Linked DNA regions of Diceros bicornis minor. The protein of the gene in region 2 purifies or fractionates together with the protein of the main gene of each other region. This does not show direct contact. Links are inferred from orthologs where the notes say so. Each region holds a gene or a part of one and is shown on either strand. Other genes may lie near its edges.

Region 1 (10,453 bases), on a different chromosome or scaffold from region 2:
GCAAAGAGTGAATGTGTACAATGCTGGCCAGGATGTAGAGCAACCGGAACTTTTCCTGGGATTGGAAATGTAACCCGGGGTCACCATTTTAGAAGCATTTTATAGTTTCTTATATAGCTAAATAGACACTTATCCTGTGACTCAGTAATTCTATTCCTAGCTATTTATCCAAGAGAAATAAAAACATATGTCTACTGTCCACAAAAAAGACTTGTACAAGAACGTTCATAGCAGTTTTATTCATAATAACCCCGAAGTGGAAACAACCCAAATGTCAATGAACAGGAGGGTGGTAAACAAACTTTGGTACATTCATTCAATGGAATACTTCTCAATAATAAAAAGGAATGAACTTCTAATACATGCAACAACATGAATGACCCTCAGAGACATTAAGTTCAGCAAGAGAAGCCAGGCACAAAAGGATATATACTGTATGATTCCATTTATATGAGGTTCTAGAACAGACAGTACTAATTTATAGTGATATAAATCAGAAGAGTGGTTTCCTGGTGTCAGGGGGGTGTGTGTGTCAGTGCGGGGGAGGGCAGGGAGCAGATAAGTGATGAAAAGGGGCACAAGGGCATTTCCTGGGGTGACAGAAGTGTTCTATACATTGATTGCAGTAATGGTTACATAAGTGTGTTTATTTGTCAAAACTCATTGAATTTTTCACTTTAAATGTGTGCACTTTATTGTATGCAAAATATACCACAACCAGAAAAAAAAAAAAAAGAGGAAGAAAAAGAATCTGTGGAGTTTTCAGAGTGTACTGAGGGTGGCAGTGGAGAAGCAGAGGAAGGAAAGAATAAGTGAAGTTCGGAAACAAAATAACTTATTGATGCACGGATGCAGGGGAGGGAAGAGTCAAAACTGACTCAGGTTTCTGGCTGCGGCAGCTTGGTAACTGGTAGTGTTATACCGACGTGGAGAAAACTGTCCATTTTGGGGCAGGTTTGTGTGTGGTGGGGGGAGAGGGACAGAGAAGGAATAAGGAGACTAAATTTTGACCCGTCAGTCTGAGAGGCACCACGTGGCCCCCTTATACTAGACTTAATCCTGTTAATCCTACCTTTCTAGATTCTTCACTGGAGTATCAGACTTCCTCAGCATTCCTTCCTCTGCTCTTTTCTCACTCCATAGCAATGGTTCTCAACAAAGTAATACTTCACCTCCCCTCCACAGAGGGGTTGGGGAAACCAGTGAAGTGTTTTTGGTTGTCACAAAAAGGTGGGGCTGTGCTATTAAGTTTCAGTGGATAGGCGCCACGGATGCCAGACAGCGATAGTCCCACACAATAGAGAACTCCCCCTCTCACTGAACACTCACATAGGCAAAAGGCATGTTTATAATTATCTGAGGACCTAACACCTCACTTTGTCAGTCTTAATATACCCTAAAATTTCCAGTAATGCAATTACCACGTAAATCGAGGGAGAATTGTTTTCTAGTGGTTCAGAACTTGACTGAGAGTTGTTTTCTCTTCCAGATAAATTACGTCTCCAACATCACTACAGTTTTTGGCGTATTGGTAATCAATCCCACACTGCTGTGTCAGTCTGCATTTGTAGTAGTGATTCTACACATAGCTGTCAGCATCTGCCTACTTTACTGTGTCTTCCAGTGTAGACATTCTCAAGCATTTACATAGTGAAAGACATTTTATTTTGCTATACTTACTTTTCTCTTCTTTCTCCTTTATGTCAGTGATAAGTCATTATATATGATTTTTAAATTATGTTTTAGATAGATTATATTATCTATGATTATCATTTTGGAATAGTAAGGGGTAGTGTTACAAAGTATTTCTCATCAAAAGGGGCTGCAGCATCTAATATGGTTGAGAAAAACCGATCTACAATATAGTGGTTAGTGATCTGGGCTCCGGAGCCAAAATGCTTGGTTTTACCACTTACTATTTAGGTAACTTTGGCCAAGTTAATTATTGTCATCTGTAAAACGGGGCTAACATCCTCCCTCATAGGGCTGTGTGAGCACAACAATAACGATTAGTTAATATTTGTAAAGCACTTAGAACAGCACATGACTGGCACATATTAAGTACCAAATAAATTTTAGTTAGATAAAATAAATACGGTCTCTCCAGGAAATCTTATGCATGTTCATGTCTTCAATTTCCATTTATACATTATTGCAGAAAATTTCCTAAATTTAAAAATATTTTGAGTGAGCTTTGCCTAAAAAAATACATGTATATCTCAACATGGTATTTGGTAGAGCCTTAGGAGAAAAGAATGCTTTTCTTTCAAGTACATAATTTTCCAAGTATTAGGCTAATCATTCACCTTTCTCAGGAAGACAAAGAAGAGAGGGTTGAAGAACATTTATGTTCTGGTAAAATCAGAAACCAACGGAACGAAAAACCCAAGGAAGAAAGACAAGTGGCAAAAAGGTTTTAAGTTTAAATTTGTACAGCCTCTGTTTCTTATTATGGTCACTAAGAAGCAACAAGAAGCTTCCTAAGATAGTTACAGATTCTTCCTAAGCTATTCCATAGAAAGTTACTGTAGGAAAGACATTTAATGTTATATACAAATTCTCGAACTGTAAACCTCAACCATGAGGCAAGGAAAATACTCTAATATTCACTTAATCTAGAAAATATGCCTGTTGTAGGAAATGGCATTTGCTTACTCAAATGAGCTGTGTTAATGAAACCCATTACTCTACAGAGGACCTTGTTTCTGGTTTTGTTCCTAATTGATTATGCAAGTAAAATAAAAATGGTGGCTCCACTGGATTTAAAGCCAAATACAATAGGAAGCCTGTTTTCATTCACAATGAGGACCCATAAATTTAAACCTCCAGCCTGAGACCCCTCCTTTGCTGTTCCCTGGATCCTGAGTTGGCTGCCCCTCATCCTTCAGCTCTCAACTGAAGCTTTACACTGTCAAAGAAACCCTGTTTGACCACACAATCTGTGTCATCTTCTTTTGTTTTACACTTTCTTAGAGCAACAGTTCTTTCCTTCTGTGCACTTGTCATAATTTTTACTTATAAGCTTTATAGTTTTCTTAAAAAAAAATCTGTCTCCTGCATTAGACTTAATCCACCAGAAAGGTTCCTTACAAGTGCCAGAGAACCAGGCCCTAGTACATTTCCTAGTACATAGCAGGTGCTCAATAAATATGTGTTGCCCGGGGGAAGTGTCATTTTGGCATTCTAGGGTACACAGTTGAGATAGGGGCTAAAGATATGAATGTGAGAGTCATCTGCATTTAGATAGTATTTAAATACAGGAGAATGGATGAGATCACTCATTCTAAGGAGAAAGTGGAGATGAGACAGGGAAAAGTCTTGAACAGAGCCTTGGGGACCTCCAACATTTAATAGGCATAAAGCAAGAGATGCTGGCAAAGGAAACAAAACAAAGGAATGGCTAGAGAGGTAAAAAGAAATTCAGGAGAATGTGCTGCCAAGACAGCCAGGAAAAGAGACCTTCTTAAGAAGGTGGGGGTGGGTAGTTGTGGCAAATACAGCTAAGAAATAAATGAAGATCAGAATAGAAATGTTACCATTGAGTTTGCGGCTTCTAGGTCATTTGTGACCTTGATAAGAGTGATTTTGAGGGAGAAGTGAGGGATGTCAGCTTAGAGTGAGTTGGGAAAGGAGGTGCTGGAAGCAGCTGGCGTAGAACACTTTTTCAAGAAGCTTTGCTGGGAAGGAGAGCAAAACAATGAAGCTGGAGAGGAATGAAGCATCAACAAAGTTGTTTTGGTTTTGTTTGCATTTTTTTTTTTTTTAGTGGAAGTTACTAGAATATGTTTGTATGGTGATGGGAAATATTCAATATAAAGAGAGATTAATTATTTAATAAAGAGAAAGAATGACAAGAGGAGAAGATCCCTTAGTAGGTTCCTGATAAGGAATCAGTGCTGATCTTATATTGTCATTCTTCTTTGACCTACCCTTATGCACCAAGTTTAAGTAAGAGATCATTAAAAAGTGATTAGTTTGACTTCATAATGCAGCCCTGAAGGGGTCATATGGGACATGTCAACCACTCTGGAAAGAACTTCAAGAAATTCTATCTCCTCAGTTTCCCTGGGGCTGGGAATTAGTTCCAGTGTTTCTCAACCTTGTGTGCTATTGGCATTTTGGTTCAAATGCTCTTGTGTCGTGGGGGACTGTTCTGTGCATTGTAGGATGTTTAGCAGGATTCCTGGCCTCTACTCACTAGATAACCGGTAGCATCCAGTTGTGACAACCAAAAACCAGCCATTGCTAAATGTCCTTTGGGGGGGATGTGTGCAAAATTGCCCCAATTGAGAACCACTGAGTTATTCAAACCTAAGAAAGTCTAACAACAACAACAACAAACCAGCTAATCTTACCTGTGTAAATGTTGATAAATACTACTGTTTTCATTGCCTTATGCTGTTGTGGAAAATTATTCATGAACCTGGTGTGAAAGCCTATTGTGCTATACATACATGTTAGTATTTTTTAACTCCTAAAGAGATACTGTAATATAATTTTTAACATTTTAGTAGAAAGAACAATAAAAGAAAACCAAACCAAATACATGTATGGATGAATCAACCTTAGGGATGATGGCAGGAAAAGGAAAGTCACTAGCATGTATTGGTGGTCCCTACATTTTATATTTTGTAAACTTGATTTAAAAAAACCTTTTTTCACATGCTCATTGTATAAAAATGAAACAAACAAAAAACCCCCCAAAAGCCAGATACATTAAGAGAAGAAAATTAAAAACCTCATAATGTCATCAGTTAATATTTTGGTGCATATGCTTTAGGACTTTCTGTGCATCCATCCATTCATTTATTCATTAACTTATTTATTACACATCTCCCTCAAAGTGGTTAGGAACCAGGCAGTGAAGGCGATTTTGTTTTTTTTTAATGGGAGAGATTTGGGCATGTTCTCAAGCCAGTGGAAGGACCTATTTAGAAAGAGGAAAATGGTATGATCCATAGAGTGAGGTTTCCGAGAAGGAATGAATTTTAAGCAGAAGAGGATTTATCTTTAGGAAAAAAAAGCATTGTGAGAGGATGGAAAAAATACACACATATTACACAGGGATATATGTATCTTATTGTATCTACATGTATGTATATTGCTGTATCTACCTGTAGGTATGTAAGCATCTTGTATCCACATGTAGGTATTATTTTTTAACTTTATCTACACGTATGTATCTTACTGTGTCTATATGTTTTTTTACCATGTGAGCCACTTTTGGTACCTGCTTTTTCACCTTTTCTACTGTAACCATTTTCCCCATTCCGTTAGTCTTCCTCCACATCATTTTTACAGTATCCTAAGGCATACCAGGAGTTCGGTTTTTAAGGCCACCTCCTAATGTTGGACATTTTAGCCGTTTACAGTTTTTACTATCATCAATGCCCGGACTTGATATCTTGGCGGTGTAATATTCGCAGATAACTCAGATTATTTTCTGAACAGAAATTCGGGCAAGTGGAATTGTCGAGTCAATGGTCTGCAAAATTCGGTAGATACAAATCGCTTTTAAACCTCACCGCCCGCCTCAGGTACGCATTCTTTACCTGCGGAGGAAACAGAGAAGCAGGGAGGTTAAATAATTGGCCCAAGGTCAAAAATGATTAGAAGTGGCGGATTTCAAAAGCCGGAGCGGGCTCATCACCCTGCAGCAAGGGTAGAATTTGCGGTTTAGGCGATTTTTTTTTTTTTTTTTTGATGTGTGTGTCAGTGGGGGAGGGGCCGGGTGGCAGGGAAGGAAACTTGTGTCGCAGCAAAGAAGGAGGAGGAGGGGAGGGACTCGAGTCAGATCAGAGGCGGCCGCGGCGAGAAAGGCTGGGCTCGGGGCTCGGCGGGCCCCCCAGCCGCTCCGCGGGGCGCCTCGGAGGCTGTGAGGCCCGCCAGGGAGGTCCGGCGGGGGGCCGCGCGCCGCGCCCGGGCGGTTGCCAAGGGCCTGCCCCGTCTGCGGGTCCAGTTGCTAGGGCCTCCATCTTGAGGCCGCCGGCCGCGGCGCCCCCGGAAGGGGTTGCCGAGTGGGGCATTCACTTCCGGTCTGAGGCCTGCGGCGGCTGTGGCGGCGGCGGCGGCGGCGGCGGCGGCAGCGGGTCGGTGTAGAAAATGGCGCTGGTGCAGCGGCTCGGGCCTCTCCCCGCGGCGCTGCGGAGGGCTTGAGGCTCGCGAGCCTCACTCGCCGCGCCCCACTTGCTCGTGCACTTTACACACATGAGGTGAGCGGGGCGGGGGCCTCCCTCCGGGCGGGAGGAGCCTCGGGCGCTGCCGCAGGGCCCGCGACTGGGGGCGGCGGCGGCGGCGCCGGGCGTCCCGGGGACCTCGGGGCTTGGCGGGGGGCGCGGGCGGCGCCGCTGCGGAGGCCGGGCGGCAGGCCCGGAGGGGCCGCGCTGCGCCGCTGGGGCCGGGCCGGGGGCTGCGGCTCGCCCGCGCCGCCTGCCCGCAGTCCGGGCTGCAGCCCCGCAGCTTTGTGAGCCCCCCCGGGCGCCCCTCCCCTCCCCCATCCGGCTCCGGCGCGAGCCTCTGCCGCAGCAGCTCCGTTTTCACGCGCATCTCTCACTCTTTCTTTTCTTTTCTGTTCCAGAGAATTGGAAGCTAAAGCTACCAAAGACGTAGAAAGGAATCTTAGCAGGTAAGATGGGCGAGCTTTCCGTCTCTCGCCCCGTTAATCGTGTATTTCCACTCTGGTTCGCCCTTTCTGGGGTTATAAGTTCCCCCGTGTCATTTTCTTTCGCACGCAGGGGACAGGCATTCGGGAGAAGAGGCCAGAGGGAATATTGGATGGAGGGATTCCGGGGAGATGCGTAATTACGCGTGTGTTCCTTTCTTTGTGGGGGGGGAACAGCGAAAAGCAATTCTTGTAAACTTAGTTAAAGCATTCTTACCCTTTTAGAATTTAATTAGGGGACTTGTGCATTAATTACTATTGTAAATGGTTGCAGGCATTGTGTGACTCATGATTGAGGCGGCCCTTATGGCGGGCTGTCAAACTGTTTTGGCTTCCCCGTTATTACTTTGTAACTCAAATTGTTGCCCTTATAAAAAGATACTATGTGTTCGCATTTTTTTCAGCACATTGTAGTCAGGCGGGTTCTGTTGCAGTGGAAACAGTTTTGCCCTTGAACTTTACCAAGCATAAACTGTTTTGTTTTTTTTTTTGAAACTACGTTTGTGTCTACGTTCGATGTGTGCCCTTTTAATAGCCGGTAAAATAATTAAAAACCTGTTCCCATTAAGTGGTTATCATTGCTTTTGGGCCTGAGTGCTTTTGCACTGGTATCTTAAATCATCGCCACAAAGGGAGTTTTTTGTTTTTTAAACGATGCCTTCATGGAAATATTCAGCGTTATTGAGCTGTAATTGCTTAAGCATCAGGGCATTGCACTGGATTTAACTCTTTTTCACATTCATGTTGTCTTACAGTCTTTTCCTTTCTTATTCGCCGTTTTCTTTTGCATCATATTGGGACACTCGAGAAACTTCTAGATTAATTTAATCAGTGAGCAGCTTTCACTTGGATAGAATGAAATAAAATTTCTCCTATCTCAGTTCTTAATATAATTTGTGCTTGATGACTGTTTTTAGATTTATGTTGAGGTTTATTAACACTCACAAATCAAATCGTCTGGTTACTTTTCACCACATAGAATCATTCCAAATTGCTGGTCTTTTGAGTTTTATAGATATTAATCTGTTAAGGTGATCATTAAAGAATCTGTTTGGTTGGTGAAGGATGGGCATTATTGGCTTACCAAATAAGAGATTTTTTTGTTATTCAGAATAATTATGGGATCATTTAAAGGAAATTAACCCTGACATCACTGACTAAGTAACTGTTCATTGGACATTTAAGTAAGTTTTATTGTCAAAAGTTATTAAATGTTAAGATATGAAACCATGAAAGAAAACAGGTTGAGTTTTTAAGGTGTAATTTCAGCAGCAGAAAGGAGCTTGGAGTTTGGGTCTGTTTCTCCTTCCATTTTTGCTTTGTCAGGTAATTGTATCAGTATAATTCCTATGGAGGTTTTCTGGGACTTAATTAAAAATTGTGTCTACCACAGGTATAATTTTTATATACTATTACAGTTGGATAGAACTTGGAGTTTCTGTATCGGAATTTGAATCCCAGCTCTGCCACTTACAATATGACCTTGACTCTTGGCAAATCACTTAGCCTCTGTGCCTAATCTATAAAACAGAGGTTTGGGCCAGCCAGTTGCAAAGGTCTGTAGGCCCTTGGGTTATGTAAAGGGAGTCACGGGAGTCATATAAAAAGGCCACAGAGAGCATGTACAATCTGGTAGGCAAACTAATAAGTATTAAATAACTAATACAAGGTCAGTGATGTAGGGATCAGAAGAAGATACCATCCCATTGATATACTTGAGGATCTTCAGTTGGTCAGAAGGAACGAAAAGGAAAAATAAGTGTCAAGGAGGTTACAAGGCAGTGTGTACTAAGGACCATGAGAGGGGAACATTTCCTAAAGGGTGAAAGTGTTCTGAGGAGGGAGAGATGTGATTAGGTGGGCAACTGCTTCCGTTCAATTCTCTCTAGTTCTATGCTTCCTTTTTCCCAGATAAGAAGAGTATATCTGTCTTGACCCATTCGTGCTCTCCCCAGGAAGTCAAGGCATTATTTTCCAATAAACATTTCTTGAGCATCTTCCATGTTCCAAGTGCGAGACTAGGCACTAGGGAGGGGAAGAATGGCAGTAGCTAAATTTATTGAATGCTTCTATCTGCCTTGACACTCTTTTCTGAAGACTTTACATGGACTCATCTGATCCCTGGAACACTGTGTGAGGTAGGTACTATTATCCTTGTTTTATGGATGAAGAATTTGGGACACCAAGAGGTTAAGGAACTTTCAGGAGGCCACACCACTGGTAAGTAATTGGAGGAGCTGTCGAGCTTTGAACTATATTGTATTGTCTCTTACTAGAGGCGTGGTTCTTTACATTGAAAAATTTGAAAATCTCCTTGGGGAGGCAGAACCCACAGATACGTGCAGTTCTTCTAGATCAGAGTTTCTTACCTGGGTACTGTTGATATTTTGGACCAGAAAATTTATTGTTGTGAAGTCTGCCCTGTGCATTGTGGGATGCTGGACAGCATCTGCCAGTGGCACTCCCCACCCAGTTGTGACAATCAAAAATGTGTTCAGATATTGCCAGATATCCCCTGGGGGGCAAGAGTCACCCCCAGTTGAGAACCACTGTTTTAGATCTTTACATTTCGTGAAGATAACTGAAGATTTGGATTTTTAAGGTGAAATCTTTAAATGTTAAATTAATTTAAACTTTTTTTTGGGGGGTGGGGGTGAGATCAGCCCTGAGCTAACATCCATGCCAGTCCTCCTCTTTTTGCTGAGGAAGACCTGCTCTGAGCTAACATACATTGTCAATTCTTCTTCTTTTTTTTTTTTTCCCTTTTTCTCCCCAAAGCCCCAGTAGATAGTTGTATGTCATAGTTGCACATCCTTCTAGTTGCCGTATGTGGGACGGACGCCGCCTCAGCATGGCCGGAGAAGCGGTGCGTCGGTGTGCGCTCGGGATCCGAACCGGGTCTGCCAGTGGCGGAGCGTGTACACTTAACTGCCAAGCCACGGGGCAGGCCCCAATTTAAACGTTTTAATACCATGAAAGTCCAAACTCTATTTTGTGGACCGCTAGTTTGGAAGCTCTGTCTCTGAATATCAGAGATGTATTTCCATTCTCCTTTTCCTCTGCAAAGCTGCAAATCCTCCTCAAGACAGTGTGCCAGGTAGCCAGTGCCATTTAAACAAAATTGGCACAAAAGATAAATTTAGTTTACTACCCTAGGTAAACTCTTTCTTAATTCACTGTTGGCCATTAAAATTGTCACTTTATAGTCAGTGTCATGGGTGTTCAAAAGAGGGAACTATAATGTCTACATGGGAGTTCTCACCGTTGGAACTGAACTTTAAAGAATGGAATCAATTTTGAAAAGCAGAGAAAAGGGTAGTGTAAGAAGAGGAGCAGAAAAAAGGCACAAAATCCAGAAAGTACAGGGAATTTTTAAATAGCAGTGAGTAGTTCATTGGATTGGCATATAAAGTTGGGAGCAGATGCAGAGGTTCTTAAATATCAGGTTGAGGAATTTTTACATGAATCTTTAGATAGTGGGGAGCTATTGTATGTTTTTGGGTGGGTAGTGATATGATAGAATAATGATAACTAGTGATCTAGGCAAGACCTGAATTAAAGTGGTGGTAGGAAAGAGGGGCGAGTGTGAGATACTGGGGAAGTAGAATCTGGGATTTGGCTGCTGACTAATCTGGGATTAGTTGTGAGAGGAGTCTAAATACACAGGGGTCTTGGGTGAATGGGAGATTGACCTAGCCTCTGAACAGGTCAGAACAGAAATAGGACTTTCTGTAGAGAAGGTGATGTTACACTTTCCAGTTGTAAAAAATCTCTTCTAGTCTAACTCAACTG
Region 2 (10,379 bases):
CCAGTATCGGAGCGCGCGCTCTTAACCGCTAAGCAACGGGCCGGCCCAAGACCTTGTATATTTTTGACTGATTTAATAAGGTGGGAGAAGAATCGAGAGAGTGAAATAGGATCCAAGAAGGGCGTGATTAACAGCATGAACTGCAGCGAGAAGAAGGTATTTTTTTCTATTTAGTTTACCATCCTCCTCCCATCTTCTCTGGGATCTTATAACTATATGGTCATTCTCCAGTATTTCTTGAAAATAATCATTGGAAAAACCTAATTTAAATAAGGCTAGGACTAGGACTTCCATGTCGTTCACCACAATCACCACCACCACCTCCACCTCCCTCCTGTCCTCAGGAGATACTTGTAAAAGAATAAAATAAACAAACCTAATTTTGTTCCTAACTAGTGTCATAAATGGTGTTCCAGTGCACTCAATAGCACTTAGCAGCTTGCTCTATTTATTTTCATGACTTGTTTTCCCCAGAGCCTGTGAACTCCGAGGAGTGGAAACTACATTCTATTCATTTTTTTCATCTCAGGGCCATAGCATATATATCAAGGGGTCAATATTTGTGAATAGAATTGAAATGAGCTAGAAATATGTGGTTCATGAAAACAGAGTAGGGGGAATCAAGAAGTGATATTGAGTGCACAGGATGGACTCAGCATTCCTGAATCTTCAGGTAAGCAGAAATTTAACTAGATTACCATCATTTCTCACTCTCACTCCAACTTGGAGGCTCTGTGGTTTTGTCCCGTAAGCTGATGGTACAGTTGTCAAGCATGTAAGTTCTGGCATTCCTCCCTGGTACTGCTAGAGCTTGTTATTTCTGTGTACTGCTGAGGAGATGGCTCAGAGAAGGATTCTGGCGTAGAGCCCAGTGAGAAATTTTCAGTGGCAGCTAGTGTGTACATAAGTGCCTAGCATTCCTCTGGAGGCCAAGTGTTGTGACTTTTCAGATTGCAGAACTAACTTATGGCTACCACCTGCCAGATTCCCTTGGGAGCAAGCCAGCCAGACCCATGCTCCTTTTCAGCAGCAAGAGTTAATGAGGTTGGTTGAACTTGAAGAGCAAATTGGAACATGAAGGAGATTTTTCCCAGTCGAAATAAGACTTAAAATAAATTTATGACCCTTAATGAAGCAGAAATAAAGTATTTAGCAGAGGGAGTGGGAGGATGCTCATTATGGCGTATTTTTGCCATAAATTTTAGAAACTTTTTTTTTTTTTTTTTTGATACGGAAGATCAGCCCTGAGCTAACATCCATACCAATCCTCCTCTTTTTGCTGAGGAAGACTGGCCCTGGGCTAACATCCGTGCCCATCTTCTTCCACTTTATATGGGACGCCGCCACAGCATAGCCTGACAAGCGGTGCGTCAGTGCTTGCCCAGGATCCAAACCCCGGGCCGCCAGCAGCAGAGTGCGAGCACTTAACCACTATGCCACGGAGCCGGCACCTAGAAATTATTGATGTTAAAAGGTTTCAGGATTTGGCTGTTGGTTGCTACTCAAGAGAAAAAGATGGTGAGAGCCCAAGGCCTGATTTCTCTGGTCCTGGAGCTCAAGGTTTTGAGTTAAGGCTTGTCCTAGTACCCCTGGACATCCCTTTAGTATTGGTTGAGCAGCCTTCCCTTTGTCTTGTCAATTCGCAACATATACTGTAGCACATTCTTGTCTAGCAAGTGCCTTGGTGCAGAGAGAGGCTGGGTATTTGTTGGGTTATCTCTTGGCTTAGCAGACCCCAGAATCTCATGGCAGTTATGGTTTGGTGGCTCAAGGAAAGGGTTATAGTGCAAAGAGAAGACTGCTTTCAAGTTCTGAGCCTGGGCCACCCCCAAGCTGCTGTCTGTACTGCTGAATGGAGAGTAGCATTGAATTGGAAAATTAGCTCTCCCTTTTTGTTTCTGGCTTTCAGGACATTTATTCCTCTGGCTATAGGCTGAGGAAATCTGGCAAGCTTAGAAGATGCACAGAGCATGACAGAAGCATAGATGCTTTAAAGCATCCATGTCAAGAAGGAGGAGCTGGAAAAGTGGACTTGCTGGAGATGAGGTGCATTTAGAAGTTCTCCACTTAAGCACCACGACTGCTTTCCCCAGGACACGATATCAAGGTTTTTTAGGCCACTGTGGCTTACCCTGCAGGAACACACTGTCCTCTTGGCAGTGTTTTTTGGGGATAAAGAGGTCTTGAGGGACCTTTCTAGGGAGCCCTCCATACCTCTTCCCCTCCTTCTTAAGGCAAGGAACTTTCCTCTTAAAAGAGGCAATGGGAGCTCCCAGCCAAGTTTTTGGAAAAGGCCTGTGTGTTGTTAATGGAAGTGAACTGGAAAAGGAGGAGGAAGTTGGGTACTTTGAACTTTTGTACTACATGTTTTGTACAGTATCTATTATTTAATTGCATCTTCACAGCGTTCACGTGACGTAGTTTATCAGTTACCTTCAACTGTATATAACAAAACTCCAATTAAATTGGGTTAAATAAGGAAACTATCACTTGACAAGAAGTCCTGATTTAATATGGCTCCAAGGTTGGTTAAGTCACTGGCTCAATGATAATACCGACAAACCAGGTTGTTGCAGTCTTTCTGCTCTGCCATCCTCTGTGTTGGTTTATCTTCATGCTAGTTCACCTCAGGGTCCCAAGATGACTACTGTAATTCCAGGAAGGAAATGCTGACAGAAGGTGTCTAGCCGAAGAGGGACTAATTTTTCCCAGTGTCTCATTTTAAAGTGAGGAAATCCCTAGAAGCACCAGCAGATCTGGCCTCACGTCTCACTTGCTAGAAATGGATCATCTTTCCACTCCTATTCTGTCTTTGGCAAAGCAAATTAGATTGTCCATCATGCGTGGCTTAGATTAATTAGGAGTTACTCTGTGAGTCATGTGGATTAGAAAGACGAGTCATTTCTGCTAGGCAAGAAAGAAGGGGATAAGGGCTGTTGGCTAGGCATCCAGCAGTGTCTGCTCTGTGTAGGTACTCTGGTTTTTACAGATGAGGAATGTGAGGCTCAGAGAGAGTGACTTTCCTAGAATCACAGATGGTAGCAGAGGGCCTTCTGTCTGAGCTCTGTCCCTAGAGGCAGTATGTTTTATAATGTGTCTGCTGCAGTGCAAAGTAACTTTCTTTCTGCTGTGTAAAAACTGCTGGTCTAGAAGAGGTTTGAATTCGTGTCAAGTTGACTAACTTGAGCCCATGTGAGAGGAGAGGATTCTATCTAGAAGCTCTCCTCATCCAGTGATGATGTTTATCTAGCACAGGAAGCCTAGGAATGCCACTTTCAGAGGGCACTGATTTCCTTGTTCCTGAGATTTCTGTACTATTTCTGTAGGTCTCCCTTCTGAGAGCAACTAGTGCCACAAAGGATGAGGGTAGAGTTTTAGCCTGCTTCCTGAGCCCCGTTTTTGAAGCCCACTCATTTATTCATCCATCCATCTGTCCCACAAATATTTATTGAATGCTGCTATGTGCGGCACTGTTCTAGGCACTGGTGCTATGACAGTTAACAAGATACACAAAGACCCTGCTCTATGCCCCTTAAGAGCAGATTCATTTGGGAATGAGGTTATCGAAAAATACAGGAGTTTGTGTGGTCAGGGGAGAGCCTCATACAACTTCGCTTTTGGCAGAATTATTTAAACTTTTTTGCCTTTTCACTTTCTGATATTACAATTCATGAACCTTCCACATGGGCTAACTCTAAAGAGGCGGCGTCCCTGGGTTGCAGAAATAGATGGGAAGGCATCATTGACATTTATTAAATTGGCCCGAATTAGAGGGTCCAAATCCTGCTTCATCAATGTCAACAAAGAAGCCAGTGGCCTACCTCCAGGGTTTATCACCATCACCATTGGGAGAAGCCAAAGAAGCCTGCAATCATTTCGGGAACCAGTTTCAGATTCAGGGAGGGTTGACAGTGTGATAAACCCTTCACAAGAGTTGATATTTAACCTTGTCAGATGCTGCTACTGACTTGGATTGTGTACAGTCAGGGATTGAAAATAACTAAGATAGAGTGTTTCATCTGGTGACATTTAATTTCAAATATTAAAATTGGGGAGGGCAGTTTCATTCAAAGGGGTAGAGGTGGGAAGGAAAAAGGCAGAATCGGAGTCAGATGTGGGTTTGAATGCCATCCATTTATTAAGCTTTTACTGTATGGTAGGTGCATGTAAGAAGTGCTTTAAAATGGTAACTATAGTAAATACTTTTTTAATTCATTAACATTTAGGGGGGGTTTTCTCTGTGCTTAATGTATATTTCCTAACCTTGCAACAATTGTATAAGATATCTGTTATTCTCTCCGTTTTTCTGAGGAGGAAACTGAAGCCCACAGGTCAAGTGACTGATCCAAAGTCCCACAGAGATTGGGGGGAACCGAAGATGGGATGTTTTTTCTCCTTTTCCTCTTTGTCCCAAGCTTTAAAAAGAGAATCTATTTTGACTTTTCAGAAGTCTAAACAAAATTACTGATACTTAGGGGCATAGGGAAAATTCATGAATCATTCTTCTGCCTGAAAAAAGTAGTATCACCTTTCATTAAGGCAACAAATATTAAGGATTTACTATTTGCCAATTAGTATAATGGCCCTGGCAATCTTATAAAGCTTACATTCTAGTGGGGGAGGGGGCACACAAACTATTAAAACGAATTACAAATTGGGAAAAGGGTTATTAAGGAAATACTGTAATAGAATAAGGGGTGCCCCCACACCGTAGATGGGTGGCTGGGAAAAGGTCTCTCAGAGATAAGTCTGACGTTGGGGTATAAGAAGCGGCGGCGAAGGAAGGGGAGAAGGTGAGGGTAGAGAGAAAAGGAGAGGGTTACTGGCCAAGGGAACCAAAGGCAAGAGAGGCTCCAGGTCGGAAAGAGAAGCGCTTTGCCTGTTGGGGAAATTAAAAGCAGACCAGTATAGCTGTAGCATAGCGTTGAGGGAGTCTTGCTTGAGGAGAAAGGCTGGGGCCCCGTTGCGCCGTGTTTTGGCCCTGGAAAGGAGTTGTGGGTCTTCTCAGTGTGACGAGGCGCTATTCAGGACTTTTAAATATGGAAATTATTCGACCTGATATTTGTATAATGTTCTGTTCCTTCATCTTTACCCAAATTATATTGCACATTTTTTCCCTAAAAAAAAAAAAAGTCAGAGCGACCCTACGGACTTGGAGTGATCAACAGTGGCGGTCACTTGACCGCCTGCTGAGGAGGAGGCGCGTGGGACCGCCCAAACTGGGCGTGGCGGGAGGGGCTCGGGGAGGAGGGTGGCCCTGCCCAAGACGTGCTGGGCCTGGAGGCCCTCTCAGCTGCAGGTCTGGGTCCTGGACCTCAGCAGCCTCGCTCCAGCGGGCTCCTCCCCAGGTAAGCTATGCCGCCTTCTGCGACGTCGCCTCAGGCAGGCACTGCCGTGCACCAGGGTGGCGCGAGGGGTCCTGCCTCTTCGGGTTGTCTCCGGCCGGCACGGCCCAGCGGAGAACCGCTGGAGGGCCGGCCCTGCCCCGCTCCGCCCAGCTCCCCAGCCTCCGGCCGCGCGTGCCCCAGGCTCCGCCCAGGCTCGGCGCCGGCTCCCCGACACCTCCCCTGAGTCTCCGCTCCGGCCGCGCCCGCACCGACGTCGCGCCAGCCCGGCTTGGGGCGGAGACGCGAGGCTTAGATGTCGGGAAAGCCGGGGCAGCGGAACTGACGCCAGCGGACTTCCGGGGGCGGCCCCCGGGGAGGTCGGCGGCGGCGCCGCAGTCGTGGAGGGGCAGTGGGAGCGTAAGCGGCCCTGGGCGACGCAAGTTCCGCACGGGGCTCCCCTTCCTCGCCTCACGCGTCTCCTTCTTCTCGTATAGTCCTGTGCTGCTTCCCGACGGTGGCTCTTCCTGACGAGAGCCTTCGGAGTGCGGTTGCTGAGGAGAAGCCGTCGCTACCCCGCCTCGGGGTTGAGTGAGGGTGCCTGTCGCGCCGCGTCGCCCCCTGCGCCGCCTCCTTGCCCCCAGTGGCGGACGCCCTTCTCACTCGAAGCACTCCCCCCAGCTCCATGAATGGAAATCGGCTCCGCAGGTGAGTCAGAGCTGCTGGCCCGGTCGCTGGGGGTGTCCCCAGAGGCCCGTCGCTCCCTCCACCCTGGCCCAGGTGCGCGAGGTGAGCGCCGTCCGAGCGGCTTTCCCTCTCCGCCCCCGCCCGGCCCCGCCGCCGCCGCCCCGCAGCCCCGCCGCAGTTCCCCGGGGCCCCTGAGTAGGCGAAGCTGCGGGAGGGGACATTGCTTAAAGGATTGAAGTGTGGGGTTCTCTGGGGGGTATTAGCCTTTCGGGAGTCTAGAACGCTTTGCCATCGCTTTTGTTATTCCCGTTGAAGATGTAGCGGTGTGCGTGTCCTTTAACCGGGTTGTGTGTCCCATAGAGGCGCTGGGCGACCAGCCCTCTCCCTTGCCCCTTAAGCTAGTTGTGGAGATACGTTGAGATAACGGAGGAGACTTAAGTTTGAAATAGGTATTAGAGCAACGTCAAATGCAAGATGGCATTTCTTCCGTCCCCGAGTTCTCTCCTGATGTTTGTGGCAGCATGGTATATAGTTCCTGAGGATCTTGGAAATGTCATATCAGCCTGGATCACTGCTTGTGTGAGGAGGTGGATCTTAAAATTGCTGACAGTATATTTTTTTTCATTCCCTGTTCTCTAAAGAAGCAGTTGTCATGTTCCTGGAAATTAAGAAAATTGCTTTCTCTGCTTGGGAAAAACGGCAGTCTTGAGAAAAATTGCAACATGGGCAGTACTTACCTTAAAAAAAGAAAGAGCACTCTTTTATGGTTCTAAAGTAATTAATTGAGGGACGTAAAGTAAGTGTTACATAACGGTTTGCTTTCCAAATCGTCATGCTTTGTATGTTAAATTTGAAAGTATGCTTCATCTAGACAGTCACAAACTTATAAATTAATTTTCAGAATATTGGGGGGGGTGTCTTGTTACTAATGGTATCACAAGTCCCTGAATTTCACATCTGGTTTTGCCAATTTGGGAGGTACCTAAATATGAGATAAGAAAAACTTACATAAAAGAAACCAGTGACATAATGATGATAAAGAATTTGTTGATTGGGTTAAGGAGTATAATTGTTAAGTAGATACGGAAAGCACTCAGAAATTGTAGAGATGGGATGGGGAGAAGAGTTTATTACAAGTTTTATTATATGGAATTTTCTTTAATCAGTTTATACCATTTCTCTTTCGCATTCTCCATTTTTACCTTCATTTCTTTGTAGAAGAGAAAGCTTGTCTAGGTTGTGAAGAGTTTTAGATTCTCATTTTTTATCATTGATTTGTGTATTTCTGAAACTGTGTCCTGCCTTTGTTTTTCAATTTTCTACTATACTATTTAGGAAACGTGATGATTCGGGTCTATAGGTGATTTTTACATAACTGTCCTGTTGTCAAGCCCGGAAAACAAAACATGAAAGTTAAACACTTTATTAATCATCCTAAAACTTTTAAAGGTATTTCAAAAAAATTTTTTTAAGTTTTGTTTCTTTTTCTCCTTTGGGTTTTTCATATGAAATTATGCCCAGATATATGGACAGCATCTTAGAAAATACTTCTGAAGTCAAACCACCTAGCCAACTGGCCCACCTAGCCAAGTATGATTCAGTAAATGCTCCTGTGAGTTCTTGAGCTACAGATAAGTTTTATCTCTTCTTTTTGCATGTACCATTGCTGAAATATATACCCACTTAATTGTCTTCACATATGGGGAGGTATAGTTAGAGTTATCAACCATATGCTTGGGCATCTTGAAACGCAAAATTTATTCTTCAGTGCAGTTTATACATGATTGACTGTAATGTGATGATAAAGATAAGTATAATTTGGCTCAAGATCATCATCATCGAAAACAAAATTTCCATTCTACCTGATACTTACATGTAATTGTTATGCTGCACATGAAATTGAAGGCATAATTGGGAAAAATGTGCAACTAAGTTTTAAATCAAGAATTTGACAGATACATATTTTGGTTTAAAAAATTTTAGATGTAAATGGTCTCTAATAGTGTTGGATCTTACTCCTCCAATTCTGTTCTAAGTTTTTCTTTTCTGTGGAGATTCTTAAGAATCATCTTGTAACAGGGTATTTTAAATTCTAGTTGTTAGGTGGATACATAGAAAACAAATTTATTTACATTAGAAGACTTCGAATACAATTACTTTATAATTGTTTCTTGGTGAGTCATTCCTCACTAAAAATTAATATTTATTCTTTCCTTTTGCATGAAATATTTTAAGTGATTTTTAAGGGTGTCCTGTACAATCTACTGATTTAGTATTGTGTGAACTTTGATGTAACCAAAAAAGCTGGCACAATTGGTTTTTAAATAATAATAATCAGTAGTTTAGCATCTGTGCCTATGACTACTTAGGGGAACTTCTGATGAAACCCTATTTGTTAGCTGGACTAAGAGTATATGTTGTTTTAGTTCCAAAGAAAGTGGGAATAGAGAAAGCAGAAGTATTCATTGAGATATCACTTCTCCTGAGTAGCTGTTTTTTAGGATTGTACTATTCTAGTCTGTATTTTTGGGTAAAGTCAGACTACTGTTTAGGGCAAAACGAATTGTACTACTTACCAATGGAAGAAAAACATTTACTTTCACCTTAAATTAATGATATGCAAATTGATTTGACACGTTTGGTAGTTGTCTTATATAACCTTGCAAAAGTGAATAGACTGTTTCTTAGTTATACTCTTAAATTTGTGCTTGAATATAGTTATTTTAAGGCTCTGCATTTCTTTTTTTTTTTTTTTTGTGAGGAGATCAGCCTTGTGCTAACACCTGCCAATCCTCCTCTTTTTTTTTTTTTTTTTGGTGAGGAGATCAGCCCTGAGCTAACATCCACCAATCCTCCTCTTTTTTTTTGCTGAGGAAGACGGCCCTGGGCTAACATCCGTGCCCATCTTCCTCCACAATCCTCCTCTTTTTTTGCTGAGGAAGACTGGCCCTGGGCTAACATCCGTGCCCATCTTCCTCCACTTTGTATGGGACACCACCACTGCATGGCTTGCCAAGCGGTGTGTCAGTGCTCGCCCGGGATCCAAACCGGGGAACCCCGGGCCGCCGCAGCAGATCGAGAGCACTTAACCGCTTGCGCCACTGGGCTGGCCCTCTGCATTTCTTTAATAATAAAAATTAAGAGAAGTCATATAAGAACAAGTTCCAAAGAAACAAAAATTGCATGTATGGAAGGTCGATTTGAATGAAGTGTGGATAAAAGTGGGTTCAAAATACTAAAATATATAATGCCATTAGTTTCTCAGTTTAGTATTTAATTAATTAATTTTTTGTGTGTGAGGAAGATCAGCCCTGAGCTAACATCCATGCTAATCCTCCTCTTTTTGCTGAGGAAGACTGGCTCTTAGCTAACATCTATTGCCAATCCTCCTCCTTTTTTTTCCCCAAAGCCCCAGTAGATAGTTGTATGTCATAGTTGCACATCCTTCTTGTTGCTGTATGTGGGACACGGCCTCAGCATGGCCGGAGAAGCGGTGCGTAGGTGCACGCCCTGGATCCGAACCCGGGCCGCCAGTATCGGAGCTCGCATCGGAGCGCGCGCTCCTAACCGCTAAGCCATGGGGCCGGCCCACTCAGTTTAGTGTTTAAAATAAACAGTCTTCTTTAATCATTTTGAGAAGAGTTTTTATTTTTATGTAAATTTTCTCACTTGTAAATTTTTGTCTTGAAGAAAAATATGTCAAAATGCTGCTCTGTCTGGAGGGCATGAATTTTGAACATGGTTTTTCTACTTGGTTGTCACTTAAATTTTAGTTTGTGGTGCTCTGGAGTGGCCATTATAACTTTTTTCCTAGTATTTGCTACTTTTGACTGGCAGTGGGACTTATGAAAGTGTGCCAAGATTATTTTGATTTTTGTTTTAGAATTTAATTTCTCTGACGGTGATGGATCACTCTGAGGGAAAACTGAAAAGGAGGCAAGAAAACTTCTTTCTTCTAAACAAAGACTTTTTAAACCAAATTTCAAATTAATAAATCTATTAATTTAAAAAATTTTAGGGAATTAAGTAATTTAGGAAAGCAGTTATAATAAATGAAATGATTTCTAGATGCTACTTCCTTTTGCTCTTTTGGAGAATTTTATGTAGTAAGTTGGTAATTGAGGATTAATTTCTATTTCCCAATGAGAACATTGTATTTGTTTGGTTCTATAAGCCTGGTCTGATAGTAGTATGCAAAGAGGCCTGGGGCCCTGTAAAGGGGACATTTCCTGGAAGAGTTCTCTGTTGTATATGGAGAAACCCTAGCTCAGAGAAGAATTCTTGCCAAATTGTCATAAGCTATTGGAGTCTAGTTGAATACTATGTTGCTTTATATCACAACCATCTTTTTTCTCAGTAGTTTCCGTA
Region 3 (10,648 bases), on a different chromosome or scaffold from region 2:
AGGCCTTCTTTCTTGACTGAAAACTTCAATTTCAGCAGCTGGACCTCAAAAATAATGCTCTTCTCTCCATCGTGCTCGAGTCCTACTTTCATCCATCGTGCTTGAGTCCTACTTTCTAGACCAGCACATATTCCTAAGGATGGGCAGAGAGAATGTGGAAAACCCTGACAGCCTGTACCGTCCAGAAAGGAGTGCATCTGTGAATGGACTCCTATCCAGCATCTGGCAAAAGCCTGAATGAGACAATTGGTATTTGACAGACGGCATATGAAAGATAAACTAACTAAATTCTAATAATTCAAGTCACCAGAACAATGTACACCTCTATTACTAAAGCTTTTCTATTATGCCTGAGGCTTTTATCCAGTTTCTCTAAAATGGCACGTGAAAAATGTTTCTCTATCACTGTAAAATGTAAAACATTTTCTCCACATATTGTTAATGTCATTTTATGTAAGAATTTAAACTCTTATTCTTCATACGAGAGAAAAGTCTGCTTCTCCTGATTAATTGGTATACTTCCTTTCATTCATCAATGCCAACTATAATTAGTCCTGTTTCCTCTCTTGCTTTGACTAATAAAATTTTTTTAAAAAAGCCTTGAGTTACAGCAGATGCTGAGCTATCCTTCCCCAAGCTCCTCATCAAATTCCCTGCAGCTCCCTCCACTCTACCCCTCAATCTTTACCTTTATTTTCATAGTCCTCTCAAACACCTATTCTATGACCATCTCAAATCCTTTCTTGAAGTAGACAAATAATAAAACATCTGCATCCATTGGGCTTTTAGAATGAGCTAAACTCCTAAACATCTAAAAAGCAGAGCAGAAGGTAAACAGGATAAGCCACTTGGCTCCAACTCACTTTTTGCACAAGTTCAACGCGGACCTTACTGGTGCCTTCCTCAGCATGCAACAGAGCCAACACAGCTCCATGATGATCAACTGAACAAATCCAGTTATCTGAATATCTACCCGCCAAACACTAAGAGGAACTGAGATCATAAAAAAGAGTAAATCCTGGGCCTCAAGGAGATTAAGGTCTTTTACTGACACAGAGGAATTGTTTGTAGGAAAGTATAACTATCTGAAACAGCCCTGAAAAAACTCATATTGCAATAAATGCCGAGTCTAGTGTTTTGATGATCAAGAAACAATCTGACCACTTCTGGGTATATACCCAAAAGAAGTGAAAGCAGGGACTCAAACAGATATTTGTAAACCCATGTTCATAGCAGCTTTATTCACAATAGCCAAAAGGTAGAAGCAACCCAAGTGTCCATCGATGGACACACAGATAAGCAAAATGTGGTGTGCGTATATACAAAACGAAGTATTATTCAACCTTAAAAAGAAAGGAAATTCTGACACATGCTACAACATGAATGAATCCTGAAGATGCTATGCTAAGTGAAACAAGCCAGTCACAAAAGGACAAATACTGTATGATTCCACTCATATGAGGTTCCAAGAGTAGTCAGATTCATAGAGACAGAAGTCAGAAGAGTGGTTACCTGGGGCTGGGAGGAGGGTGGAATGGGGAGTTAGTGTTTAATGAATAGAGCTTCAGCTGAGGAAGATGAAAAAGATCTGGAGATGGATGGTGGTGATGGTTGCAAAACAATGTGAATGTACTTAGTGCCACAAACTGTACACTTAAAAAGGGTTAGAACAGTAAATTTTGTTATGTATATTTGACCACCAAAAAAAAAATCTGACTTATTCAGATAATCAGAGGTCCCCTGAACATTTAAGGGTAGACAGTTTCACTTATTCAACAAGTATTAGCTAAGGTCTGACCTATGTGTTATGCAGGTTTTCCCCTAAAATCCACTTGGAATAGCAATGCAATACAACACAAGGACTCTGAAATCAAACCATGATTCAATCCTGGCTCTGCCACTTCTAGAACCATAACTTGGGGCAACTATCTCCGAGTCCTAGTTTCCTTGCGTGTACAATAAGGACAGTGTTGAGTTTGTCTCAGGGTCACCATGAAGATTAAATGAGAACGGATATAGAGGCACCTGAAACATCCTGGCACATAATAAGCAGGCACTTATAAACGTTATCATTCTCTCCTTTGCCACAGTGATGACCACAGGAAGCTAAGGTCACAAGTGAGAGAATGTCTATGAAAAACCTACTTTCTCAAACAAAACAAGCATCTCCTGTGTCAGACAGTGGCCGGGAATAAATATCTCAGTGCCATAAAAGTCATCCTTCCTAGAAGGCAGCACTACTCTAAAAGTACAACCCACCATGTAACACCACAACATCACCATCTAACAAGAATCATGAACCACATCAAAATAAAAGCCTTCCAAAGCCAAGACAACAAAACTCAGCAACGGCAAAACCGCCTCGTTATACAACTCACACACGGGGCCTCAGACCTAGCACAGCAGACAACTGAACCTTCAGTGATGAGATGAGAGCATAAAAAGTAAAACAAGCCCTTACTAAAATAACTGCAGGAAAAGACGGTCTTTTCTCCCCAAATTAAATTCAACTAATACATCTTTACTTAAAACAGCATTTTGATGCCATGAATTAATCCATGAACCAAAATTACCAATTTAAATGTTTACAGCGACCCTATTAAAAGCAACCTTTTAGTATTTCTAATCTATAGACAGTTTTATAAAATATGGCCTAAAATAAAGTTTCAAAACAATTATGTGTGTGTGTGTATATACAGCACATATGACACATAATATACACGTGCCACAGGTAGCTAGCTAGCTTTAAAGACACTCTGCAAAATAAAGACACTCTGCAAAATAAACAGATTATTCTAGAACCTAGCTAGTTCCAAAGATATTAGTGATACTAAAATTACAACTTACTAGCAGCCTCATTCAGAATCCTGTACCATCATCCATCCTTCAATAAATTATTGGAGCTCTTGGTTAAGATGGGTATTTTTATTTAGAAAACTTAATGTTTACACCAACACATTTTCAACTTAACCTTTTATTAAAGCATTTTTTTAAAAAATACTTTCCAAGTTTCTTAACTCCTAACTTCTGCCGTTTTCCCTTCACTGAGTGCGCTGTACTTGAAAAACAAGCGACACGAAGACAACTGAAAATCAAAACCGTCAAGATTCAGAAAATCCAAAGACAGAAGCATCTCAAAGACACAGACTTCAAAGTAACACTCTTGAATAAGATGAATGTTTTTAAACCGTGAAAGTCTAAGAACGCTTAGACTTATCTTGTGGGTCAGTAACGTGTCCCTTTAAGCACGACTTCCCCACAAAAGCACTGACCGAACACCATAGAGCCAGGAGTCCCCACTCATCTGTTTTTGCAAATCTTCAGGCTATTAAAGATGCATTAAGTGGTTTGTTAGCTCCGTGCTGCGGGCAAAGCCATCGGGGCAGCTCAGCTTTTCTAGACAATCTACAGAAATCTCACGGTCTAACTTAAAACATACACTGATTTCCTAAAGATTAAAAATCCTTAAGAAAGGCTCCTTGGGCAGGGTCCAGGCGTTTGGGTACAAAAACATCGGAGGGGAGGGGCGGAAAGATGGCCTCGGCCACCCGCCCCGTGGGACCCAGATCTGGTCACCTGCCAATAAACACGAACAATCCTCCGCGGGCGGGCCCCGAAGCTCGCGCTTTCCTGCCAGCACCGACAGCCCGGCTTCCTTCCCTCCCAGCCCTCTCCAAGGGGTCCGCGGAGGCCCAGCGGAGCGGCCCCCAGCAGGGCAGGGCCCGAGGATGCTCCAGGTGCCGCTGCGCACTCCGCACCTCTCGGTGCGCCACCCGACCCGTCAGAGCCCCGCTCTCCACGGGCTGCGGGCGAGCGGGGAGGACAGGCTCCAGTCCGCGTGCCCACCCGCTGCCCGGGCGAGCGCACGGGGTCCCTCCACAGCGCCCACCCAGAGGGCCGCCGCGGTCGGGGAGGCGCAGAGCCCGGCGGGGGCCCCGACCCCGCAGGCCGCGCCGCCCGGGACCAGGCGAGGCCGCGCATCGGCCCGCGCCGGTGTCCCCCGCGGGCCAGGCCGGAGCGCGGGCCCAGCGCGCCCATGCGGGCCTCGGCGTGGAGGCGGGCGCGGGGCCGGGCGGCGCCGCTCCCCGCCCCGACACAAAGCGGCTCCGCGGGAGCCCGCCTCACCTGCAGCACGGGGCGCCGCGGGCCTTCGAGAACCATCGGACCCCGCTCCGGCGCGCGCGTCACAGCCCAGGCCTCCCGGTGCCGCCCGGCGCCGCCGCCGCCGCCGCCATTTCCTCCCGCTCGCCGTCGCCGCGTCCCCGCTGTCAGGTTACTCCATTCACCTGGGCCTGGAGCCGCCTGCGCCGCGCCGCGACCCCTCCCGCTGGCGCCTGCGGAGACTGCGCAGCGCCCGGCTCGCCCGCAGCCCGCGCACGGCCCGCGGCAACGGCGCACCGCCGCTTGGAGAATCCCACCGGCGCCCGCGCCGCCCCGCCGCGCCCCCACGCTCCGCTCGCCCGCGCCGGCATGAGAGCGGGCCTGTGATTGGACGCGGCGCGGCGGTGAAAGGTTAACCCCGGCCCCCCAGCCACTCAGGAGCCGGGAGACAGCGGACGCGGGCGGCGGAGGCCCAGGCGGCGTTTGCGGCCCAGCGCCGGGACTGGAGCCGGCCGCCCACCGCCCGCCGCCTCTGCAGCCCCCGGGCCCCGCGCGCTGAGGCGGCGGACGCTCGCAGGCTGGCAGAACTTCCTGGCTCTCTGCATTCGCCCGCCTCCATTGTTGCCCGTCTGGCACCCACCGCCCCCTAAACGTGGCCCTGCCCCCCGGCGGTGATTGTTCTCCCGAGGGCTGCGCGCCCCTTTTGCCACTCCCCCCTTCACTTTGTCAAGACCTTCCCGCTTGCCTGCTCGTCCCCCGCGTTAGTGGTGCAGGGCCCTCCGCAATTGGGGAGACGACAAACCCCACCCCACTCCCACCCCGGAACAGGGATAACCAGAAAACGAGATGGGGACAGCGGCCCCGGTTATGTAAGTCGTTCATTTGCTGGGGTCGCAACCGTGTACCATACCTTGTAGCTGTGAATTAAAACCTGGAGGTCAATTAGGTGACTAGCTTAAAGAAAGTCCTGTTAGTTTATCCCAAAGTGTAGGCAGCTCTGCCAGAGGACTCAGTGATACACTGGTTTACTGCAGAGGAGGGATGGTACCAGCAACCATACTTCTGCTAGTAAGAGTTAGCTCTTGGCACCTACTCCCCAGACTGTCTGGGTTTGCGCGGTTCCATACAGTGGTTACTAGCCCCGTGTGCCTACTGAGCACTAAAAATATGGGTAGTGCTAATTGAGACGTGCTAGTTGGAGCTCAGATGTATGTGTTCTTTACCAAAAGAGAATGTAAAACATCTCACAAATAACTTCTTATATTGATTACATGTGGAAGTGATGTTTTTGATATATTGGGATAAATCTAGTTTCATTTTTTTTAATGTGAGTAATAGAAAAATTTTAATGTCTTAGGTGGCTAGCGTGAATTGACCAGGGTAGTGTAAGCCTGTGATCTTTATGTGGAGCCTGTGAGGTAGGTGCTGTGATTGCCCCCTGTTTTAACAGATGAAGAAAATTAATAACCTCCATCAGGTAAGCAGCTACTAAGTGAATAACTGAGATTTGAACCCGGGTAGTCTGGCTTCAGGGCTGATGTATTCAGTCACTGCGGTGATCAAATTTTAATCATATATTTACTGTAAATTGGTCAGATAGAAGTTTCACCTAAACATAGAATGTTCATGGGCAAAATTAGGAAGTAGTCAGAATGCTCTTGGCAGACCTCCGTAAAAATAATGTTTCTTGTATGTCAAGCACTGTGGGCAGTAGACCTCCCCAGTCATATGCGTAAAGGCTTTTGGGAGATAATCCTTTATGAGAAGGATGGCATCTCAAGGCGGGGGTAGGCACCACGGTCCACTAGCAGTGGAAATTTGTGGGCAGGTAAAACTTGCATCCCCTCCTGCTGTTGCCTCAGTCTGTCAAGATCAGCTGGGTTTCTCCATCAGCAGGTTTGTCTGATTTTCATCAATTTTTTTAATTTTTGAAATAAGTGGTACAACAACTCGATTAAAACATGGGCAGAGGATCTGAACAGAGATTCTCCAAAGAAGATATACAGATGGCCAACAGGCGAATGAAAAGATGTTCAACATCACTAATTATTAGGGAAATGCAAATCAAAACCACAGTGAGGTATCACCTCATGCCCATCAGAATGGCTAGAAGACAAGAAATAACAAGTGTTGGAGAGGATGTGGAAAAAAGGGAACCCTCATAGACTGCTGGTGGGAATGTAAACTGGTGCAGCCACTATGGAAAACAGCAGATTCCTCAAAAAATTAAAAATAGAGCTACAATATGATCCAGCTATTCCACTTCTAGGTATTTATCCAGTGAACACAAAAACACTAATTTGAAAAGATGTATGCACCCCTATGTTCATTGCAGCATTATTTGCAATAGCCAAGACTTGGAAACAACCTAAGTGCCCATTGACAGATGAATAGATAAAGTTGATGTGGTATACATACACAATGGAATACTATTTGGCCATAAAGAAAGATGAAATCTTGCCATTTCAAACAACATGGATGGACCTGGAGGGTATTATGCAAAGTGAAATAAGTGAGATGGAGAAAGCCAAATGCCATATGATTTCACTCATATGTGGCAGATGAAAAAACAACAGACAGACAAACATATAGATAAAGAGAATGGATTGGTGGTCACCAGAGGGGAAGGGGGGTGAGGGGAGGGCAAAAGGGGTAAAGGGGCACATTTGTATGGTGACAGATGGCAACTAGACATTTGGTGGTGAACACGATGTAGTCTATACAGAAGTCGAAATATAATGATGTACACCTGAAATTATATAATGTCATAAACGTATGTTACCTCAATAAAAAAATTAAGTAGTACATACATATGGTGTATCCATCAGAAAGCATAAAAAGGTATACAGTAAAAAGAATATCTCCCCCATACCTGTCCCCATGCCTCAAACGGTAACCATTGTTTCTTGCTCCTTCTTCTAGAGAACTTTTTTATGCATATACAAGCCAAGACGTTCCTCATTTACAAAAGTGATAGTGTGCCATACACGTATACTATACCTTGCTTTTTTTACTTAATATATCAAAAAGATATGTCTACAGCAATATATACAGAGCTCCTTGCTATTTTATTCAATCCCCATAACATTTTGTGTGTGTGTGTGTGTGAGGAAGATCAGGCCTGAGCTAACATTCCATGCCAATCCTCCTCTTTTTGCTGAGGAAGACCGGCTCTGAGCTAACATCTATTGCCAATCCTCCTCCTTTTTTTTCCCCAAAGCCCCAATAGATAGTTGTATGTCATAGTTGCACATTCTTCTAGTTGCTGTATGTGGGGCGCTGCCTCAGCATGGCTGGAGAAGCGGTGCATCGATGCGCGCCCGGGATCCGAACCCGGGCCGCCAGTAGCGGAGCGTGCACACTTAACTGCTAAGCCACGGGGCCAGCCCCCCAATCCCCATAACATTTTATTACAGAGATGTGCTATAATTTATTTAACGAATTCTCTATTGATGGAGATTTAGACTTCCAGTCTTTTGCAATAAAACACTGATCCATTTGGAAATGATTCAATATATGGGGTGAGGTATGGATCCAAATTAATTTTTTTTCTGGATGGCTACACAGTTTGCCATTTATTGGCCATTGTTGAAGAGTTCACTTCTAGGCCCTGTATTTTGTTCCAATGGTCTATCCATGCTCCAGTTGCTGGTTTGTTTTAAATCTGGAGACATAAAATCTTGTAAAGGATAACATTTCACACTTTGTATGGATCACTAGAAATCTTGGAGCTAATATTTCAGCTCATGTTAAGCAACAGTACAGTACCATGTGGTATGCATTTTCTGTGTGCTAATTTTTATTTTCCCTTTGCCATGATTATTTCTACAATTTGTTTTATTTTTTGTAGCACATTCCAGGATATAAATATACCTTGTTTAAGACTCTCTGTTTGCAAGTAACAGAAACCATCATGAAGTAGCTTAACCAAAAGGGAAGAGTTTGTCATAAGGATGTAGGAGCTTCTCACAAAAGCCAGGAGCGGGAATACAGGTACATCTTAGCAAATAACTGGAACCAAGAATTGGAAAGCTTCCGGGAACTTAAAAGTTGCTCTCTCTGTCCTTCTGTGATTCTTTTTTGTGATTCTGCTTCATCTGTGTATCTCCCTCTACTGACTGATTCTGCTTTTTCATCTACATAGGAGAATATAGCCACCCTCATGTTCAGCTAGGAAGTCAGCCCCGTGTGGAGTCAGAGCCCCAACAAGGAAGGTGGGGCGGCTGTCCTGCAAAGGTAGGTGGCCATCTACAGGGGGACTACACAAAGAAAAAACTATATGGAAGATAATGGAAGCCAGAGTTCTCACTGTTGGAGAAGGGGCTACAAATACAGAACAGGGAAAAGCAAGAAGGCTTGAGAGATTGGATTGGAATTAGAAGTATTGATGTGAATTCAAAGTTTTCAATATATATAGATATAAAAATAAATATAAACGTAGAAGTATCATATACAGGAGCCTGGAACATCTTATTGTGCCAGAAAGTATGAAAATGCTCAAAGAACGATAGAGACATTTCAAAAGGACAAAGCAGTCAGCTTGAAGGGGCTCCCACTGGCCAAATCTGGGAAATTTGAGCATCAAAATAAAATATGATAGTAAGAGATTATATTCCATTGGAATAAAATAGAATCCATGAGTCCAGACTGATGTTTTTTAAAAATGAATAAATAAATGGGGAAAAGAGACAGCTCTTCCTTAGAGTAGACTGTAACTAATAAATTTAGAAGGAATAATGGAATTAGAAAGTCACCATTTGGCAATCGTCAGACAAGAAATAGCAATATTTGCTAAATCTAGTGGGTAGAAGTTGGACAAGGAATGAGATATTTGCATAGGTTCAAAGCATGTCCCCGTAACATTCTTATTTTAAAAATGAGAACTTGACAAAAGAGACTCTAGCAGACACCACCTTACTCGAGTACTCAAAGTTAACTGTCATGCAAGGGTCAGACACACACCCCACCGGTGCCACATGGGGTTTTTGGGGGGAAACTTACATGCAGAGAAGTGGCAGAGTGCATGCTGCCCCCTGAACTTAAATTGTTGCACGGCATAGGCCAAGCATAGCTGCTGTGTGTGCACTGTGGCCAAGGTTCCAGCAGCCAGGTGTACAACAGACAGAGCCAGAGCCCAGGATGGAAAGTGGGCCCCACTCCCACACTGTGTTACATATTTATATGTTAGCCTAATTGGGCTTAGGGAATTCCTAGTTTCTCTGAGTAGTAAGAAATACATCAAAGGAAACCCCAGGTAGAGTGCCAGGAAGTAAGCACACCAAGGGCCAAGGTCTGCTCAGAGGGCCCTGGGGACAGCCTTGCCCACTAGGAATATTGACACTGGCCCAAGGTCTGGTCTCTCTGCAGACCTACTCAGTCCAGCTTAGCGGGCTCTCAGCTCTGCTATGAAAAGAGGGACGGAAAGGAGCCTCCAGGGCCATCCAGATTCGTCTCTGATCATTAATGTCACCTGTGATGGGACAAATCAACATCAGGTGCTACAGCGTCGCTTCTGTAGTATTTCTGCCAAAAATGCATGTTTTGAATATTAGAGGAAACATTGGACAAACTCAAATTGAGTGTTAGTCTACAAAACGATTGGCTCATAATCGTCAAAAATTTTAAGATTATGAAGGTCGAAGAAGGACTAAAAAACAGTTTTAGAATGAAGGACACTGAAGGTACATGACAAGTAAGTGCAATGTGTAATCCTGGTTTAGATCTTTTTGCCCTAAAAGATATTATTGGTATAATTGGTGAAAAGTGAATGGAGTTTCTGAGTGAAGGGCATATGGAGTTCTTTGTGCTTGTGTATTAGTCAGAGTTCTCCAGAGAAACAGAACTAACAGGATATATAGATAAATATAAGAGGAGATTTATTATGGGAATTGGCTCATGCAGTTATGGAGGCCAAGAAGTCCTACAGTCTGCTGTATGCAAGCTGGAGAACCAGGAAAGCTGGCAGTATAATTTAGTCTAAGTCCAAAGGCCTGAGAACCAAGGGGCCATTAGTGTAAGTCCTAGAGTCTGAAGCTCTCTTGTCCGAGGGCAGGAGAAGATGGACATCCCAGCTCAAGAAAAGAGAAAGACTTTGCCCTTCCTTTGCCTTTTTGTTCTGTTCAGGCCCCCAACAGATTGGATGATGCCCGTCCACACTGTGGAGGGTGGCGGATCTCATGACTCAGTCTACTGAATCAAATGCTAATCTCTTCCAGAAACACGCTCACACATACCCAGAAATTATGTTTTACCAGCTATCTGGGCATCCCTTAGGCCAGTCTAGTAGACACATAAAATTAACAATGACAACTTTCTTGCAACTTTTATGTTTGGAATTATTTTCAAACAAAAAGTGAAATTAAAAGCAAGAAAAAGAAGTAAAGCTGTAGAAAATTCTAAAGAATCTGCAAAAGACCTACTAGAACTAATATATGAGTTTACCAAGATCACTGGATATGAGGTCAATATGCAAAAATCATTTATATTTCTATATACCATCAATAGACAATTGGAAACTGAAATTTTAAAGTATCAGAATAACATCAAA

What was found. The genes of interacting proteins can lie anywhere in the genome.
Region 1: the proteins of AGO3 (region 2) and TNRC6A purify together in Homo sapiens (affinity purification with mass spectrometry; 7 studies listed by BioGRID and IntAct, with this or other methods). This does not show direct contact. The link is inferred for Diceros bicornis minor from reciprocal best matches to the Homo sapiens genes AGO3 and TNRC6A.
Region 3: the proteins of AGO3 (region 2) and DICER1 purify together in Homo sapiens (affinity purification with mass spectrometry; 3 studies listed by BioGRID and IntAct, with this or other methods). This does not show direct contact. The link is inferred for Diceros bicornis minor from reciprocal best matches to the Homo sapiens genes AGO3 and DICER1.

Annotation. Positions count from the first base shown.
Region 1 is NC_080765.1:27,283,249-27,293,701, reverse strand, and holds the start of TNRC6A (trinucleotide repeat-containing gene 6A protein), read left to right. Parts: upstream 1-6,083; 5' UTR 6,084-6,207; coding exon 6,208-6,212; intron 6,213-6,577; coding exon 6,578-6,625; intron 6,626-10,453.
Region 2 is NC_080752.1:50,187,502-50,197,880, forward strand, and holds the start of AGO3 (protein argonaute-3), read left to right. Parts: upstream 1-5,281; 5' UTR 5,282-5,348; intron 5,349-5,667; exon of another isoform or gene 5,668-5,821; 5' UTR 5,822-6,009; coding exon of another isoform or gene 6,010-6,013; coding exon 6,014-6,032; intron 6,033-10,379.
Region 3 is NC_080763.1:40,755,966-40,766,613, forward strand, and holds the start of DICER1 (endoribonuclease Dicer), read right to left. Parts: upstream 4,371-10,648; 5' UTR 4,126-4,370; intron 1-4,125. UniProt on the Homo sapiens protein: Double-stranded RNA (dsRNA) endoribonuclease playing a central role in short dsRNA-mediated post-transcriptional gene silencing.